3 linked regions of the Macaca fascicularis genome follow. The protein of the gene in region 3 interacts with the protein of the main gene of each other region in a pairwise test. Links are inferred from orthologs where the notes say so. Each region holds a gene or a part of one and is shown on either strand. Other genes may lie near its edges.

The links.
Region 1: the proteins of BBLN (region 3) and THAP11 interact in a two-hybrid assay, tested with the Homo sapiens proteins (2 studies listed by BioGRID and IntAct). The link is inferred for Macaca fascicularis from reciprocal best matches to the Homo sapiens genes BBLN and THAP11.
Region 2: the proteins of BBLN (region 3) and CEP290 interact in binary tests that used the Homo sapiens proteins (3 or more experiments, as listed by UniProt). The two-hybrid records come from large-scale screens. The link is inferred for Macaca fascicularis from reciprocal best matches to the Homo sapiens genes BBLN and CEP290.

Annotation. Positions count from the first base shown.
Region 1 is NC_088394.1:63,892,316-63,897,589, reverse strand, and holds THAP11 (THAP domain-containing protein 11), read right to left. Parts: upstream 2,805-5,274; 5' UTR 2,570-2,804; coding exon 1,643-2,569; 3' UTR 1,284-1,642; intron 1,196-1,283; 3' UTR 948-1,195; downstream 1-947. UniProt on the Homo sapiens protein: Transcription factor, which has both transcriptional activation and repression activities. Also modulates chromatin accessibility.
Region 2 is NC_088385.1:95,075,669-95,081,307, forward strand, and holds the start of CEP290 (centrosomal protein of 290 kDa), read right to left. Parts: upstream 3,248-5,639; 5' UTR 2,997-3,247; intron 2,711-2,996; 5' UTR 2,684-2,710; coding exon 2,582-2,683; intron 2,416-2,581; coding exon 2,338-2,415; intron 936-2,337; coding exon 866-935; intron 564-865; coding exon 517-563; intron 1-516. Other genes in the region: protein O-mannosyl-transferase TMTC3, read left to right, coding at 3,613-3,644. UniProt on the Homo sapiens protein: Involved in early and late steps in cilia formation. Its association with CCP110 is required for inhibition of primary cilia formation by CCP110.
Region 3 is NC_088389.1:15,824,697-15,830,466, forward strand, and holds the start of BBLN (bublin coiled-coil protein), read right to left. Parts: upstream 3,841-5,770; 5' UTR 3,747-3,840; coding exon 3,668-3,746; intron 2,908-3,667; exon of another isoform or gene 943-2,907; coding exon of another isoform or gene 934-942; intron 439-933; coding exon 266-438; 3' UTR 1-265. UniProt on the Homo sapiens protein: Essential for intermediate filament organization in intestinal cells, interacts with intermediate filament and regulates intestinal lumen morphology.

The DNA.
Region 1 (5,274 bases), on a different chromosome or scaffold from region 3:
GCTACAGACAAAAACAATGTCATCCTTGCCCCTTCGATATCCAATTTAAGAAAAGATAGAAGCTGGGCAGGTGGCTCACACCTGTGATCTCAGCACTTTGGGAGGCAGAGGCAGGCGGATCACCTGAGGTCAGGAGTTCGAGACCAGCCTGGCCAACATGGTGAAATCCGTCTCTACTGAAAATACAAAAATCAGCCAGATGTGGTGGCCGGCGCCTGTAATCCCAGCTACTCGGGAGGGTGAGGCAGGAGCGCGTGAACCCAGGAGGCAGAGGTTGCAGTGAGCTGAGATCATACCATTGCACTCCAGCCTGGGCAACATGAGCAAAGCTCCATCTCAAAAAAAAAAAAAAAAGGAAAAAAAAATAGAGGCAGCCAAGAAAATGAGTCAAGGGATCACACCTCCCAACTTCTTAATGCCCCCTGTGGATACAGATCTGTCACACCAAAGGTGTACCAAGGCCAAGGTATCTATACAAGAGTCCTTGTGCCTGAAGCAGCTTTGGCTAGCTCCAGCTGTGGTCTTACTGGTTCGTAGAGTAACTGCATGCACATGCATACCAGAGGCTGTGCTAAGCCTAAGGGATGTCATGGTGAGCAAAATTCAATCCCAGCTGAGAATTCAAAACCCTCAGAGGCGAACTATCACAATATAGTTTAGTAAGCAGTTGGTCCTTGTTGAAAGGATACAGGGAGATAACCCACGGACAAACTGGGCCCATTTGGTGCAGTTTCCAAACTCTTTAGGGTGAGCTGGGCCAGGAACTCTGTGAGGACCTTGTAAGGCCAGGATCCATGTGCTTAGGGTCCATTTTTGGAAAAACCTGGTCACTGAAGCATCTCTACTTTCAGGGTCAGCCTGGTCTTTCAAATAGGCTGAGGCCTATTTCCCCATGTTTCAAGGACATTTAACTATGTTTTTGTAAAAATAAAATGGCGAGACCCAAATAAAAACCTTACTTTTTGTTTAATTTGTTTTGCCAAACAAACACAGTGAAAACTTTAGTCTGACTAATTGTACAGAAAATAGAATTTGTAACCAGTAGCAAACAAAACAGGATAAACCTAAATCCCTGGCAAGCTGGATCTCCATCAGCAGGTCATCCAGATCCCCTTGTAAATGGTCTCCTGGGAAAATAAATCCTAGGAGGCAGAGGCACAGATTTACCAGTCCCCATCAGAATCACAGGCTGCACCTGGGAAGGAAAAGCATGAAAAGGAGAGCTGATGTTACTTGCATCTCTTATCACTACACACATTAGAGTTGTCTGACTGCTGACCAACCTTAAGGTATGGTTTATTCCAAACTCATAGTCCCTGGACATATCACCTGCATCCCTAGAGGGTAAGTTTCAAGTTCAGTGGTTCTGAAGCCTCTGCTTAACCAGAATCTGCAACAATAACTGGGGAAGAAGGGTAGACAAAGTCATAATTGCTGGTGTCACCAGGGCAGAGTCTAAGGCCCCAGCTTCCACTTCAGGAGGAAACAGTTGAGGATGCCAGGTCACCAGCAAGAGAGTCCAGCTGCCTTAAGCCTCAGTACTGTCAACCAGTGCCCCAGGAGTATAGAGGAGTTCAACAATGGCCTGCAGTCCCCTGGCTGGATGGGGTCTGGGAGTCCAGCAGGCCGCCGGGGCACCAGTTCACATTCCGTGCTTCTTGCGGATGACAGCCATGGCAAGCAGCCGATCCTTCTCGCGCAGTTCTTCGCGAAGCTTGGCCTCGGTGAGACGCAGATGGCGAATGCTGCCTTTCATCTCTTTCATCTTCACTTCCATCAGCGCCAGGATGTCCCGCTGCTCATTCAGCTTGCGCAGGAGCTCCTCCTCCGTGGTGCCTGACGACAAGGAGTACGAATGGTCGGAGCCAGTATCAGGGAAACCCTCTTCTCCTACCACCACCAACTGGGGGCCCATAGGGCACTCGGCAGCCTCCAGCCCTGCGGTAGCAGCCTGTAACTCCGACGCGGCGGCCGCAGCGGCTGCGCCCTCTGTGGCTGCAAACTCAACTTGCACTGTAAGATCGATGGGCTTCACGTCTTCTCCAGTGGGAGTGATGGGCGTCGGCGGCACGGATCCCGGAGCCTGACTGCTGTCTACAGCGGCCTGAAGGGTAAGAAGCACGGCCGCGGAAGCAGACACCAGGTTCGGCTGCAGCTGGGAAGTCTGGGCAGTGGAGGCAGAGGGTGACGGCTGCTGCTGTTGCTGCTGCTGCTGCTGCTGCTGCTGTTGTTGTTGCTGCTGCTGCTGCTGCTGCTGCTGCCTGCGGCGGGCGGCCGCGGCCCCAGCGGGTCTGCGCGCTACTTTGCGCTCATTGACGCCGCGCAGCGGGAAGATGGTGGGGACGCGTACCGTGTAGGTCTTGCGGCCGCCCTGGAAGTGAACGCTGCAGAGACGGTGGCCTGTGGTGGGCTGGAAGGTGGAGAAGCACCCACTGACGCCGGCACGCGACACGTTCTTGAGCCAGAGGCGCCGCAACTCAGCGTCCTTTGGAAACGTGTAGAAGTGCAGCGCCTTGTCCCGGTGCGAGTTGTTGTAGCAGCCTGGCACGCAGCACGTAAAGCCAGGCATGGCTGCGCCGCGCGGCCCGGCCCGGCCCACCGGCCTCCTGCGCCCTTCGACGGCCCAGTGGCTCCGCCGCCGCCCGCCCCTCGACGGGCGGCGCCGCGCGAGGCCTTGGGTGGTATCCCACCACTGCCGCTCGGCGCAGCCGGCCCGCCCGGCGCCCCGTGCCCAGAATACGCTTCCTGCCGGCCCGCGCCGCGCCGCCCGCCTGGCTGCCCGCCTGCGCTCGGGAGTCGGCCCCGGGGACGCCGCGAAGGACCGCCTGAGAAAGAGACTACGCCCCCCACAATGCCCCGCGCCAGGAGCCGCTCACTTCCGGGGCGGGTGTGTGCGGATTCCGGCCGCCTTCCAAGGCACGGCGCCAGCTTCCGAAGATCGGATTCTTTCTCCAGCCCGGCTTGTCCCCGGCGGGCGAGAGAGGCGTATTAGGTTGGAACGCTGTCGCCTGGACTGCTCCTTACGAGGACCCGAATCCTGATAGGGGCGTGGAGAGGGGCGGTGCGCGCCTCACCGGTGCGCAAGCGCGGTGGGTATATGCCCACGGAGACTACAAATCCCGTGATGCCTCGCCCTGAACTGGGCGCCTGCGACCCGAAGCGCCGCCTAAGGGAAAGATCGAGTTACTGCGGACCAGTATTCGGGCGAGGTTGTGCTGTTTGCCAGAACCAGTCCCCCAGCCCTGAGCGCCTTTGAGTCGACGGCATTGCTGCAGCAGAGGGAGACGAAACCTGGGCCTCAGCGCCCCGAAGGGTCTCAGGAGCCCCTTTGTCTGCGTTGGGGACTCTCTCCTGATTCAGCTGCTGCCTGCGTTGACTCCCTGACCTAAACAAAGTCTCCAGTAGACGCCTACTATGTGGCTGACCCAGTGCACGGAGTTTCCGGGAGTCAGACCGACTGGGCTCCTCTCTTGGAGCCTGACTGCCTAGACGGATGAGCCTCTGTCTTTTGGATAATAGATCTGAATGCACGCGAATGGATGTCTACTCACAGAAAGTAATCGCTCTAAAGGAATGAACAGGAGAGCAGAGAAATGGAAGCGGGGGAGGGGGTGGCCAGGAATAAAGAACGAAAGCTTGGGTAGGGAGAAGTACCCAGTTCGTGTCCCGGGAACCAGTCTGTAAGGCCACATGGCAGAAAAGAGCTAGGCTCCGCCCTTAAAGAACCTGGAAGGGGGTGGCCCAGGTAGACCAAGCGTAGGAAAATACCAAACTGGGACATGTTAAGGATTTGGGGTTTTATTCTGCAGGCCACACTGAGAGCTATTAAAGGATTTAATGCGAAAGGATTTGCATTGTAACAATACACCTCCCCCCTATCTCAACTTATTTGAGGGAAATTTTTGTGTGTGTGTGTAAAGGAGTCTCACTCTGTCGCCAGGTTGGAGTGCAGTGGTGAGATCTCGGCTCACAGCAACGTCCGCCTCCTGGGTTCAAGCAATTCTCCTGCCTCAGCCTCACGAGTAGCTGGGACGACAGGTGCACGCCGCCATGCCCGGCTAATTTTTTTTTTTTTTTTTTTTTCAGTAGAGAAGTGGTTTCACCATGTTTCCCAGGCTGGTCTCGAACTCCTGAGCTCAGGCAATCCGCCCGCCTCGGCCTCCCAAGGTGCTAGGATTACAGGCGTGAGCTAGTATCACAGCGCCTGGCCGGGGGAAAATGTTTTAAAGAACACAAAATGTTGTGGAAAGCCAGGGAGGGGCCAGGCAGTCCTTCAGGGGAATTACCTGCAAACTAGCCCTCCTCTGCCGAGTTCTTCCTTCTCCCAATTTTTTAAAAACTTATTTTTGGTTCGGGGGTACGTGTGAAGATGTATTGCATAGGGGAAGTCGTGTCACTGCGATTTGTTGTACAGATTATTTCATCACCCAGGTATTAAGCCCAGTACCCAATAGTTATCTTTTCTGCTCCTCTCTCTCCTCCCACCCCCCTCCCTCAAGTAGACCCCAGTGTCTGTTGTTCCCTTCTTTGTGTTCATGAGTTCTCATCATTTAACTCACACTTGTGAGAATATGTGGTATTTGGTTTTCTGTTCCTTCATTAGTTTGCTAAGGATAACGGCCCCCAGCTCCATCCATATTCTCACAAAAGACATGATCTTGGTCTCCTCCCAATTTTTCTTGTCTTTCTTTACCCTTTCACCTAACTCTCACTCCTCATTTTTTCTCTCCTGGTAGCAGGTCACAGGCATGAAATGGAAACCTAATATACATTATTTCTAATTATAGTATTTGACATAAAAACAAAATAGGGCCGGATGCGGTGGCTCACGCCTGTAATCCCAGCATTTTGGGAGGCCGTGGCGGGCGGATCACGAGGTCAGGAATTCGAGACCAGCCTGGCTGATATAGTGAAACTCCGTCTCTACTAAAAATACAAAAAAATTAGCCGGGCGTTGTCTCGGGCACCTGTAATCCCAACTACTCGAGAGGCTGAGGCAGGAGAATTGCTTGAACCTAGGAGGTCGAGGTTGCAGTGAGCCGAGATCACACCACTGCACTCCAGCCCAGGTGACAGTGCGAGACTCTGTCTCAAAAAAAAAAAAAAAAAGCTGTGCTTGGTGTCTCAGGACTGTAATCCCAGCACTTTGGGAGGCCATAGCAGGCGGATTACTTGAGGTCAGGAGTTCGAGACCAGTCTGGCTGACATTATGAAACTCTGTCTCTACTAAAAATATAGATCCAGAAATCCAGAAAAAATCCAGAAATGCATTCT
Region 2 (5,639 bases), on a different chromosome or scaffold from region 3:
AAGCTTCTATACACATTCACTCTTCCTCCCCTCATCCATTCTTCCTCCTCTCCTAACACAAAGGAAAAGGGTATTCCTCCTTTCAAAGGCTGATCCATTTGCATTACATTCCTACCTTCTCAGAAGTCTCTATGTATTTTGTTCCTCAACAATATATTCATATTTTAGCCCTCAGCTTTGTCAAAAATTACTTCTATAACACCCTTTGGTAATTATTCCTCAAATGCCCACCCACCCTCCACCTCAGTTACTAGTAATCTTTCTGTATAATTCCCAAGACTGTAAGCTCCATTCAGCAGTTAACTGCTTTTTATTTTGTTCACAACCGTATGCTCAATCCTTAGTACAATATATATATAGCACATAATAGGCATGTAGAACATATACTGAATAAACAAATAACCATGATTACAATCATCCTTATCATTTTTCCAGCCAATAATAATTTTAAAATTTGAAAACAATTCAAAATAAAATTAATGACAATTACATCCTAGGGAACACAAAAAGACATACCTCCAGTTCATTTTCCAGTTTCATTACTTTAGTTTTTAATTGATTTTCTATTAAAAAAAAAAAAAAGACAAATGTTTTAATTGATTAGTTACCACAGAACAAACTTTTACATAAATTTTAATAACAAAATTAATTCTTTTAAAAGAGTCCATCATGATTATAAGGTAACAAAAAGTATTATACGGCAGATCCATAAAACAGGAGTCTAGAAATATGTATTATTAAATAAATGTTATATATTAAAAATAAATTGAATATATACAGTTTATAGAATTTAATTTTCTACAGCTTAATGAACAAATGGAACTCATTATTTAATAACATAATAAACTTTTTCCAAGGTGCTTACCAAATTTTGCTTGTTCTTCTCCAGCTTTTTCTACTTCCTCCAAAGCCAGCTCTACTTCTTGAGCTTTCATCTAAACATTTAAAAAAAGTTTATTTCAATATGCCTTTAAACTGGAATGTAAGCACTGAAAATAAAAATTTTGTTTTATTAAGCTCATTAGTGCCAGCAATGGCTGGCACATGGAGACTTTCAGTAAATATTTGTTGAATAAATAAATAATTTTTTCTCTCCTTTTTTTTCGCTTTTGAAATAGGGCCTCACTTTGTCACCCAGGCTGGAGTGCAGTGGCACAATCTCAGCTTACTGCAACCTCTGCCTCCTGGGCTCAAGCAATCTTCCCATCTCAGTCTCCTGAGTAGCTGGGACTACAGGTGCATGCCATTATGCTCGGCGTGCCATCATGCTCGGCATGCCATCATGCTTGGTGTGCCATCATGCTCAGCAAATTTTTTCGTAGAGGCAAGGTCTCACTATATTATCCAGGCTGGTCTCCAACTCCCAGCCTCAGGCAATCCTCCTGCCTTGGCCTCCCAAAGTGCTGGGATTATAGACGTGAGCCACCATGCCAGGCAATTTTCTTACTTAAGACGACAATTTCTAGATTTTTAATAGCATGAAACATTTTTGATTCTCCCTTTTACCTCAAGTCCTCAAGTCTTATATCCAGTAAAGCAACATATCTCTTTGTAATGTTTTTCCACTACTTTTTTTCTGTTCCAATTGCTATTATTCTAATGCATAATTTCAGGTTTAAACTCCTCTATAATGTGATGTTTGCAAAGCTCCGATTTCCTTCAGTTTGTCCTATATAATAGACTCAGTTTTGCCTTCCTAAGGCCTATTTTTGTACCTATCAACTGTGGTTCGAAAACCTTCATTGCCTTCTCAATTGCTGACAGCATAAAATACACCTTTAATGACCTCAAGAACCTATCTCAAAGTACCTACCCAAGATTTGTTTTCTCTACAGCCTGCTACAAACTTGCTGCACCGCATTTCCTCAAATGTAAAGAATAAACATATTTCCTATCCTCAATATTTATTTATGGTAACCAACAGCTCTAGAATTCCCTTACTATCTTACCACTGCATTACCTTCCACTTACCTAAAACTACTCCTCAGTATTCATCCTCTGTGAAGTCTTCTGACACCTCTTGGATCACTTCCCCTCTTAACAAATCCCTATAGCAGTCATTGTCTGCATTTGTCATTTGGACCTCAGGATATATTTCCTTATGTTATTTTTCAACATACTCATTCTATTTCCCCTACATACCCTTTTAGAAACTTTAAGTAGAAACTAGCAATGTTTTACACACTAAAATACTTAATCTACATTTAAATATATTGCACTTTTGAGGGGTGATGTAGATATTACCAAGTATTTTCACAAAGATTACTTTATATAAGAACAGATTTTTATAGTTCCTCTAATAGCCAAACCTATCGTTAAAACCTACTACATACAAACCTTCATTAGTGACTGAGTAATTCTGAAAAGGTGTATCACATTTTCTTGCTTTTCACTTTTTAGCTCATTTACTTCCACCTAAGTAAACAGAAAAGCAACTGTTTTATATTTTATAACCTTTAAGCAAAATATAAGAACTCTTCCAGATTGTGACAATTAATAGTTGTTTCTGGAAAAAAAATTCATATTTTATTAATAATCATAAGTTAATGTATATATCTATTATTATTGACCAAGTAAGCACCTTGGATAAGGAAATCAATAAATTATCTGCCAGTTCTTCTTGACGGGGCAGGTCATCTGGGTCAACTTTCATTATTTCTTTCCAGTTTATATTAGGTGGCATCTTGAATTCTTTCACTGTGCTCCACCTCTGTAACAAAACAGGTGGATATTAGCATTTTCAAGGTACACAGCATTATTGGTTTTCTAATAGCCTACATTTTTTGCAGATTATTTCATTATAACTTTCTTATGTTAGCAAAGAACTATGCCTTAGCCACAAAACAGACAAGTGGGCAAAATAGCCTTGATCAAAAATAGCAGTCGGCACAAACTGTCAGAGAGTGTACCGGCTAAATAAAATGTGACGGCTTCCTTGCTAACACTAATCTAAGTTAGGACTAAGATTTCTGGGTCCCTTCCTCCACACCGCCTACCCACAACGCGCGCGAACACCCTAATCTTGGCAAGCGCGAGGGTCTGTGGAAGGCTGACAATGATCCTTGATTTGGAGAAGCAGAATTGGGGCTGGAAAAAAAAAAGCAGAAATTAACAATTGGAATGAGTGAAGTTGTGCGGCGGAAACCGGAACCGAAGTAAGGCAGGATTACGGACCCGAGGCTGGAAGGGACGGGGTAGCTGCGCTGCGGCACACGGGCCCTGAGGCTAAAGAACCTGAGCGTGGAGTGACTCGCTGATCCTGCTTACAGGGATCCACCCACCTACACCAAGCCTGGCAACCAGCGGAGGTCCCTCACTACCACAACCACCAAGCTGGACAGATCCCTATCGCGGTTCCACGCGGACTCTGGGTCCAGCCAAATGGTCCCCAAGGAAGCCAAAGCGGCAGCGGCTGCTAAGCGACACCATCCCTAACTCCGCCGGGGCCAGAAGAAGATCCCGGATGCAAAGAGAGCCTACAATTCACGACCGTGGGTGATGCTTTACGTTTAGATTCTCCGCCGGAGTCCCAGGACTCGGTGTTCAGGATGATGAGAAGGCGTGGAACGAGGACTCCAAATCCCAGAGTGCAGATGTGCCTGAGGTTTGTGCATGCTGGGAACTGAAGTCCCTGAGAAGAGGAGGTAAGGCGCTCCCGGCGTGCAACGCGGAAGGCTGCGACGGTACCGGGGCGGCGGGGAAGGACCGAGAGGCGGGAGGCGCAGTGGCTGAGGCGCGTACGAGCTGGTGGCCTGAACGAGGTAGACCATGACTGTGGCTTTAGTGGCGTCACTCGCTGGGCCGCTCTTCATGAGGTTTTCCTAAGCCATCCCCTGGCGGAACCGCTTCCAGGTGAGGTCGAGCTGTGGGTCAGCGTATTAGGAGGAGTTGAGGGCAGCAGTCTGGGTTAGAGAAGCTTCTGCTATTGGGGCCGTAGGGCCTGGCCCCATTCTGAAAAAGTGGAAACACCCTGCCTTCTCTTCAGGCGTTTGTAGGCGGCGTCCAGGGTAGTGCCTTCTGTAAGAAGGAAAAAACAAAAAGTTTTAGCCTTGTTTAGTATCAGAATCTGTCTTGGTAGAGTGAGAGCCGCGCAGCCGTGATCCTCGTTTGGGGGCGAGCGAAGAATTGACAAGAGGTCTCGGCATCCTCTGACCCCGCCAGCCTTACCTGTAGCACCATTCCCTTCGCAGATGGTGGGACTTGATGGTTGTGGAGCTAGTATAAAGGGAAGGCTCTAGAGAGGAGAGGTTAGTGCTTGTCCGGGCCACTGCCGGGGGTGGAGAGAGAAGGTACCCGAGGACTCACCTGTACTATTGTCACTTGCTTGGTTACCTAGGGTGTCCTTCCATGAAAGCGCCGTCTCTGGTGTTTACCACGCTTACTTGTGCAAGTTTTGCTCATCTGCTCATAGCCATACTGGAGTGCGATACACCTCTAACTAACTTTCCTAAGAAGCTGTAGATTTAAATCTAAATGACATTTCCAACTATCTGTACCAGTGCTTCTCATCTTTCTTTTTTTTTTTTTTTTAACGCTGCTTTAAAAAAAAATTTACTATACTTGATGGTAAATTTTCCTTTCGAAAATAAGTAATGAATTTCTTTTTAAACTCCCAATTTGGGTAAAATAAATAGCTCAGTACAAAATAAAAATATACTGGTTTTGTGAGATAAATTTTAAAGACATTAGTTAGATTTATAGGAATGACAATTTTACTACTTTTCTGAAAGATTTTATGCCAAATACTATTCATTATCTTGTTTATTCTTCCTTACAATCCAGCGAAATAGGTGCTTACGTTGTCCTCATTTTCCATCTAAGTTAAGAAACTGAGGTTTGGAGAAGCTAAGTACTCTAACTTAAATAGTGTGATTGAACACAGATCTCTCTGGCTGGAGGACGTATTCTTAACTTCTATACACCTCCTCAGACATTCTGGGAAACCAGTATTTGTGAAGTGCTTGTGCCTCAATCTTGCTGTTTTTATTAAATGTTATATTTTAATTTTGTACGTGTTTACTCAATTAATTTGAATTAAATATTCTTCATGTTCAGTGTTCTTAATTCATAATTTAACATGAGATGGTGTTTCTGGAAAGGGGTTCTGATCCAGACCCCAGGAGAGGGCTCTTGTATCTTGTCAAGAAAGAACTGGAGGTGCACACACCCCCATTGGAGGTGCTAGACTAAGGATTCTTATAGTTATTTCTTGATTATATGATAAACAAGGGGTGGGTTATTCATGAGTTTTCTGGGAAGAGGGTAGGCAATTCCTAGATCTGAGTGTTCCTCCCCTTTTTAGACCATATAGAGTAACTTCTTCACATTGCCATGGCATCTGTAAACTGTCATAGCGCTGGTGGGAGTGTCTTTTAGGATGCTAATGCATTATAATTAGTGTATAATGAGCAGTGAGAACTACCAGACGTCTCACCTTTCTCGCCATCTTGGTTTTGATGGGATTTGGCTGGCTTCTTTACTGCATGCTGTTTTATCAGCAAAGTTTTTATGACCTATATCTTGTGCCGACCTCCTATCTCATCCTGTGACTTAGAATGACTGATATCCTGAGAATGCAGCCCAGTAGTTCTCACCTTTATTTTACCCAGCCCCTATTCAAGATGGAGTTGTTCTGGTTC
Region 3 (5,770 bases):
GGGGAGTGCCCAGGAGTTGGGTGGGCAGGCATGTGGGTGGGTTGCAGGCCCCACTCTTGGCCCCAGGAGGGGATGCCAGGCAGTGGGGGCTGGCCCAGGTAGGCCAAGGGGAGGCCCAGGCAGGAAGGGTGGTCCAGGTAGGCAGACCCACCAGGGGACCCTGAAGACCAGCCCTTGAGAAGGTGTCTAAGCCAGGAGGTGAGTACCCAGGCCAGAGCCTAGCCCAGGGAGGCAGGGTTGGGTCCCGGTTGGGGGCTCTCGGAGCCTAGGGGCTGGCATCACTGGGGGCCTCCCCGAGCTGCTGCTGGAACTCCAGGCGTGTCTGCCGGTTGGACTCCAGCAGCTCCTGGAGGCGGGCGTGGAGGTGGTCGTTCTTCTCCTCCAGGTGGTCCAGACAGGAGTTGATCTGGTCCAGCATGGAGTTGATGGCAGCGTATTCTGGGAGGAAGGCGAAAGACAGAGCCCAGATCCTATGTCTCCTTGGGGCTAATGGCCACCCTCCCTCCACCGTTTCCCAGCCTGCTTCCCAAAGGGCTTTGTGCAAGTCCCTACTCCTTCCTGAGCCTCAGTGTCACCGTCTGGAAAATGGGTGGATACCAAAAGAGGAATGGCTTTGAATGAATGACACCTGAGTACTGCATCCTTTTTTCTAGGGTTAGGGTGGTCACAGGGTGGCAAGCCAGTGTCCTACATGGGAAGTCCGGCCAGGTGCCAAGTCTCTGCACTTTCTGCAGCAGCTGCTTAGTGGCCAGAGCCCACATTCCTGAGTTGGGCATTCAAGGCCCCTGTCCCCAGATGGGCCCTGTTTGCCAGCCCTTCTGTGGCTCCCTCAGGGTAAAACACCCAGCGGAGTCTCCCAGCCCCTGCCTCCTAGCTAGCCCTGCCTCCCTGCCTCTTCCTTTCCTCTCTCACACCTGCCTTTACCTACCTCAGGCCCTTTGAACATGCTGCTGTCTCTGCCTGGAATGTGCTGGGTCCTCCCATCTTCCTTCCCTCCTCTCCTCCTGGATGAGTCCCACTCATCCTTCAAGTCTCAGTATGGATGTCACCACCGGGAGCCCACCCAATGCCCCAGACTGGATCAGGCCTCTATGCTGAGCCCCTAGCCCTCCTCAGCCCTCCACGACCCTCTCCAGGATTGACTGCTGTGCTTATCTGAGTGCTGTTCTGTTTCCCCATGAAAGCTGAATGGTCCTGTGTTCGCTGCTGGCTCCCTGGCACCCTCACAGTTTTGCAATAAGCATTTGTTGAATGACTGAGTGAGTGAATGAATGAAGCCTCTGACTTTCCAGCCTCTCCGCCATTGCTCAACTATCCCTGCAACCTAGAATGCCTCAACCACAACAGCCCATCAAGGACCAGCTCAAAATGCCTCCTCCAAGAAGTCTTCCCTGATCTCCACTAGAAACCATCACTCCCTCCCCTCCACGGCCACTCCAGAGCTGCCTTGCTCAGCAACACAGTGTCCCTGAGGACTCAAGGTCTGGGCCTGTGCCCACTGCGGGACCCAGTTCTGAGCCAGCCCATGACTCAGATACACTCAGCTGCCAGCTTGAGACCAAGAGGGAAGCAGCCAGTGGAGGAGCTGGAGGAGCCTATCTGGGTTATGGGTGCACTTGTGCCTGTGTTCTGGGAAAGGGCACCCATTCCCAGCCACCCTCACAGAGGACAGAGTCCTGGGAAATTGGCTGCATCTTAAAGTCCAACCCCCTCGTGGTATATAGCTAGGGAAACCAAGGCCTCCAAAGGAACCTGCCCAGGATCCTCCAGGTTGGTAACAGAGTTGAAACTCAGGATTGGACTTGGAGGTCAGGGGCACTTGGGTTTGAATTCCAGCTCTGCTTTACCCCAGCAAGTTGTTGCACCTTTCTGGAAAAAAGGGAAAACTGGGTGGTCGTGAGGATTCAAACATATCAAGAGTTCAGACAGTGGCCAGCGTGGTGGCTCACGCCTGTAATCCCAGCATTTTGGGAAGCCAAGGCGGGTGGATTACCTGAGGTCAGGAGTTCGAGACCAGCCTGGCCAACATGGTGAAACACTGTCTCTACTAAAAATATATAAAAATCCTGTAATCCCAGCACTTTGGGAGGCCAAAACGGGCAGATCACGAGGTCAAGAGATCGAGACCATCCTGGCTAACACGGTGAAACCCCGTCTCTACTAAAAAATACAAAAAGCTAGCCAGGCAAGGTGGCGGGTGCCTGTAGTCCCAGCTACTCGGGAGGCTGAGGCAGGAGAGTGGCGTAAACCCAGGAGGCAGAGCTTGCAGTGAGCTGAGATCCGGCCACTGCATTCCAGCCTGGGCGACAGAGCGAGACTCCGTCTCAAAAAAAAAAAAAAAAAAAAATAGCCAGGCGTGGTGGTCACTTATAGTCCCAGCTACTTGGGAGGCTGAGACATGAAAATCGCTTGAACCCAGAAGGCAGAGGTTGCAGTGAGCCAGGATCATGCACTGTACTCCAGCCTGGGCAACAGAACAAGACTCCAACTCAAAAAAAAAGAGTTCAGACAGGATCTGGCCACAGCAAGTACTTAGTGGATATCATTATTATCAATATTTTGAATTCTGTGTCCTGGGATACAGGCTGGGAGGAGGAATTGGGGAGGCAGGTGCCCCACACCCCTCCAGGCCAGGCTTTATCTGTGTCAAGGGTACTTCCCAGTTCCAAGCCTTTGCTTCTGCCTGGGACACCACTGTCCTTAGTCCTGTCTGCCAGCATCCACTCAATGTGACCTCCTGGGAAGCTCTTCCTGATGCTCCCAACAGCATTGCCCAATGCAAACCTACCTAAAACTATTGTGGTGATGGATGCACAGCCCTGGGAATACACAAAAGCCCACTGAACTGTACAGTTTAAATGGGTAAGTTGTATAGCTCAATAAAGCTGTTACCCCAAACAAAACAAAGAGCATGCGCCATACTTACACCACATTTACTAAATCCTCAGTGTATGTTAACATGCCAATCTTTACCAAAGAGAATAATGACAATAACCATTTACTGAACTCTTGCATGCTAGAACCTGCTAAGCATTTCCCATTTATTTTTTGCATTTAATGCTGACACATCCCGGTGCAGGAGACACTAATCATTATTCCTATTTTATAGAGGGGGAAACTGAGGCTGAAGAATGTGAGAAGGGAGCTGATGGTTCTCTCTCCACACCCCACCCCTGCACTTGTAAGCACGCAAAAGGCTGCTCTGTAAGCTGCTGACATTTGGCAAGGCTGCGAGGCTACACCAGCAAAGCCAAGTGGCTGGGGATGCTGACTCGGCAGAGCGACGCCCCCGCGCCCCCCCAACCCCACGCCCCAGCCCGGCCTCTCCGCTAAGCCAAGCCGGCCAAGCTCAACCCTGCCTCAGGTGCCTCGGTCTCCCCCCAGGACTGAAGGAAGTGGTGGAGCAAGGCCCACAAGGGCGAGTGTCCCCGAAGCTGCCTCAATTTCCCCATCTGTAAAAGGGGACTGGTGACCCGCAGCTCTCACGGAGCTGGCGACCGGCTCGCGGGTGCTCGCCCTGCATCCGAGACAGCACCTACAACTCCGGACCCACTCGGGGCGGAATGGGGTGGGTTCTTTGTTCCCTTCCAAGACCCCATCCCGATTCCCCTTCCCGGGAGGGCAGCCCTGAAAAAGCAAGGTTGCTCCAGCAGCCCCCTCGGGTCACCTGCTTCCCCGAAGCCATCCTCCTCGCCTTCCGCTCCCGCCTCCACCGGCATCCCCAGGTCCCCGTTGGGGCCCGACATTGCGGGCTCGGGCGCCCGAAGGGCCGCGCGACGATGGAACGCGGCGACCGTCGCGCCGAAAGCCGGCGCCGGATGGAAGGTGGAGGCGGTGGATAGAACACCGGGCCGGAAGGGTGGAACGCGGCAGCAGATCTCCGCCCAGAGGCCGGGGCCCCACCCCTGAAGCCGGAATCCCGCAGATCTCGCTCCGCCCCGCCCCGCCCCCCAGCCGGAACTCCGCCCCCGCCCCGCGTCCAGACTCCGCCCCCACCGCCGGAGTCTCACCTCCACCTGCCTCACAGTCGAACTCCGCCCATTCCGCCGCTGGCTTCACCCGTCTCCTGGGCGCTGGGCGGGGCCACCACGGTGCTGTCCCTGGAAAAGCCCAGGAGTAGGGAGGTCCAGGAGGAGGGGCGGGAGACCTCCCAAGCCCATCTGCTGCTTCGACCCCTCCGCCTGGGCGAAATCGAAAACGGGTTTCCTTGTTATTTTTTGAGATAGGGTCTGGCTCTGTCTTCCAGGCTGGAATGCAGTGGGGTGATCTCGGCTCACTGCAACCTCTGCCTCCCAGCCTGAAGCGATCCTGCCACCTCAGCCTCCAGAGTGGCTGGACTACAGGCGGGTGCACCACGCTGGCTATTGTATTTTTTGGAGACGGGGGTTTCGCCATGTTGCCCAGGCTGCTCTCGAACTCCTGAGCTCGAGCCATCCACCCGCCTCGGCCTCCCAAAATGCTGGGGTTACCGGCATGAGCTACTGGGCCCAGCCTTGGAAACGGGGTTTCCATACCTCCTGTGGCTTCAGGACATTCCTCTTCACAGCCTCGCTGAGAGTCACGAAGGGTCTCCTTCCTCCTCGCCTCTCTGCCTGCACCCCAATGGGGAGGACCCAACACCCCTACCCCTGATCTGGGCCTTCCTGGTCTCCAGCGCTTCTTTTTTTTTTTTTTTTTTTTTTTTGAGACGGAGTCTCGCTCTGTCGCCCAGGCTGGAGTACAGTGGCCGGATCTCAGCTCACTGCAAGCTCCGCCTCCCAGGTTCACGCCATTCTCCTGCCTCAGCCTCCCGAGTAGCTGGGACTACAGGCGCCCGCCACCTCGCCCGGCTAATTTTTTTGTATTTTTTAGTAGAGACGGGGTTTCACTGTGCTAGCCAGGATGGTCTCGATCTCCTGACCTCGTGATCCGCCCGTCTCGGCCTCCCAAAGTGCTGGGATTACAGGCGTGAGCCACCGCGCCCAGCCAGCCAGCGCTTCTCTTAGGGCTCATTGGTTACAACCTGTGGGTGGGGATCAGGCTGGACTCCAGCTCTGGACAAGAGAAACAGGAACATTAGGCGGGATGGCTCCCACCTGTAATCCCAGCGCTTTGGGAGGCTGAGATGAGAGGATTGCTTGAGCCTAGGAGTTGGAGACCAGCCTGGGAAACATAGTGAGACTCAGTCCCCCATCTCTACAGAAAGTACAAAAAAAATTAGCCAGACCTGGTGGCATGCACCTTAGTCGCAGCTGCTTGGGAGGCTAAGGCAGGAGGATCACTTGGGCCCAGGAGTTCGAGGCTGCAGTGAGCTATGACTGCACCACTGCACTATAGCCTGGGTGACAGAGTGAGACTCTGTCTTTAAAAATAATAATTAATTAATTTTTAAAAAGTTTAATTAGCCAGGTTTGGTGGCACACCCCTATAGTTGCAGCTACTCAGGAGGCTGAGGCAGGAGAATCACTTGAACTGGGAGGCAGAAGTTGCAGTGACCAGAGATCGTGCCCTTGCACTCCAGCCTGGGTGACAGGGTGATACTTCATCTCAAAAAATAAAAATAAAAAAAATTAAATGTGAGGCCGGGTGCAGTGGCTCATGCCTGTAATCTCAGCACTTTGGGAGGCTGAGGCAGGCGGATCACGAGGTCAGGAGTTTGAGACCAGCCTGACCAACATGGCGAAACCCCATTTCTACTAAAAATACAAAAATAAACCAGGTGTGGTGGCGTGCGCCTGTAATCCCAGCTACTCAGGAGGCTGAGGCAGGAGAATCACTTGAACCCGGGAGG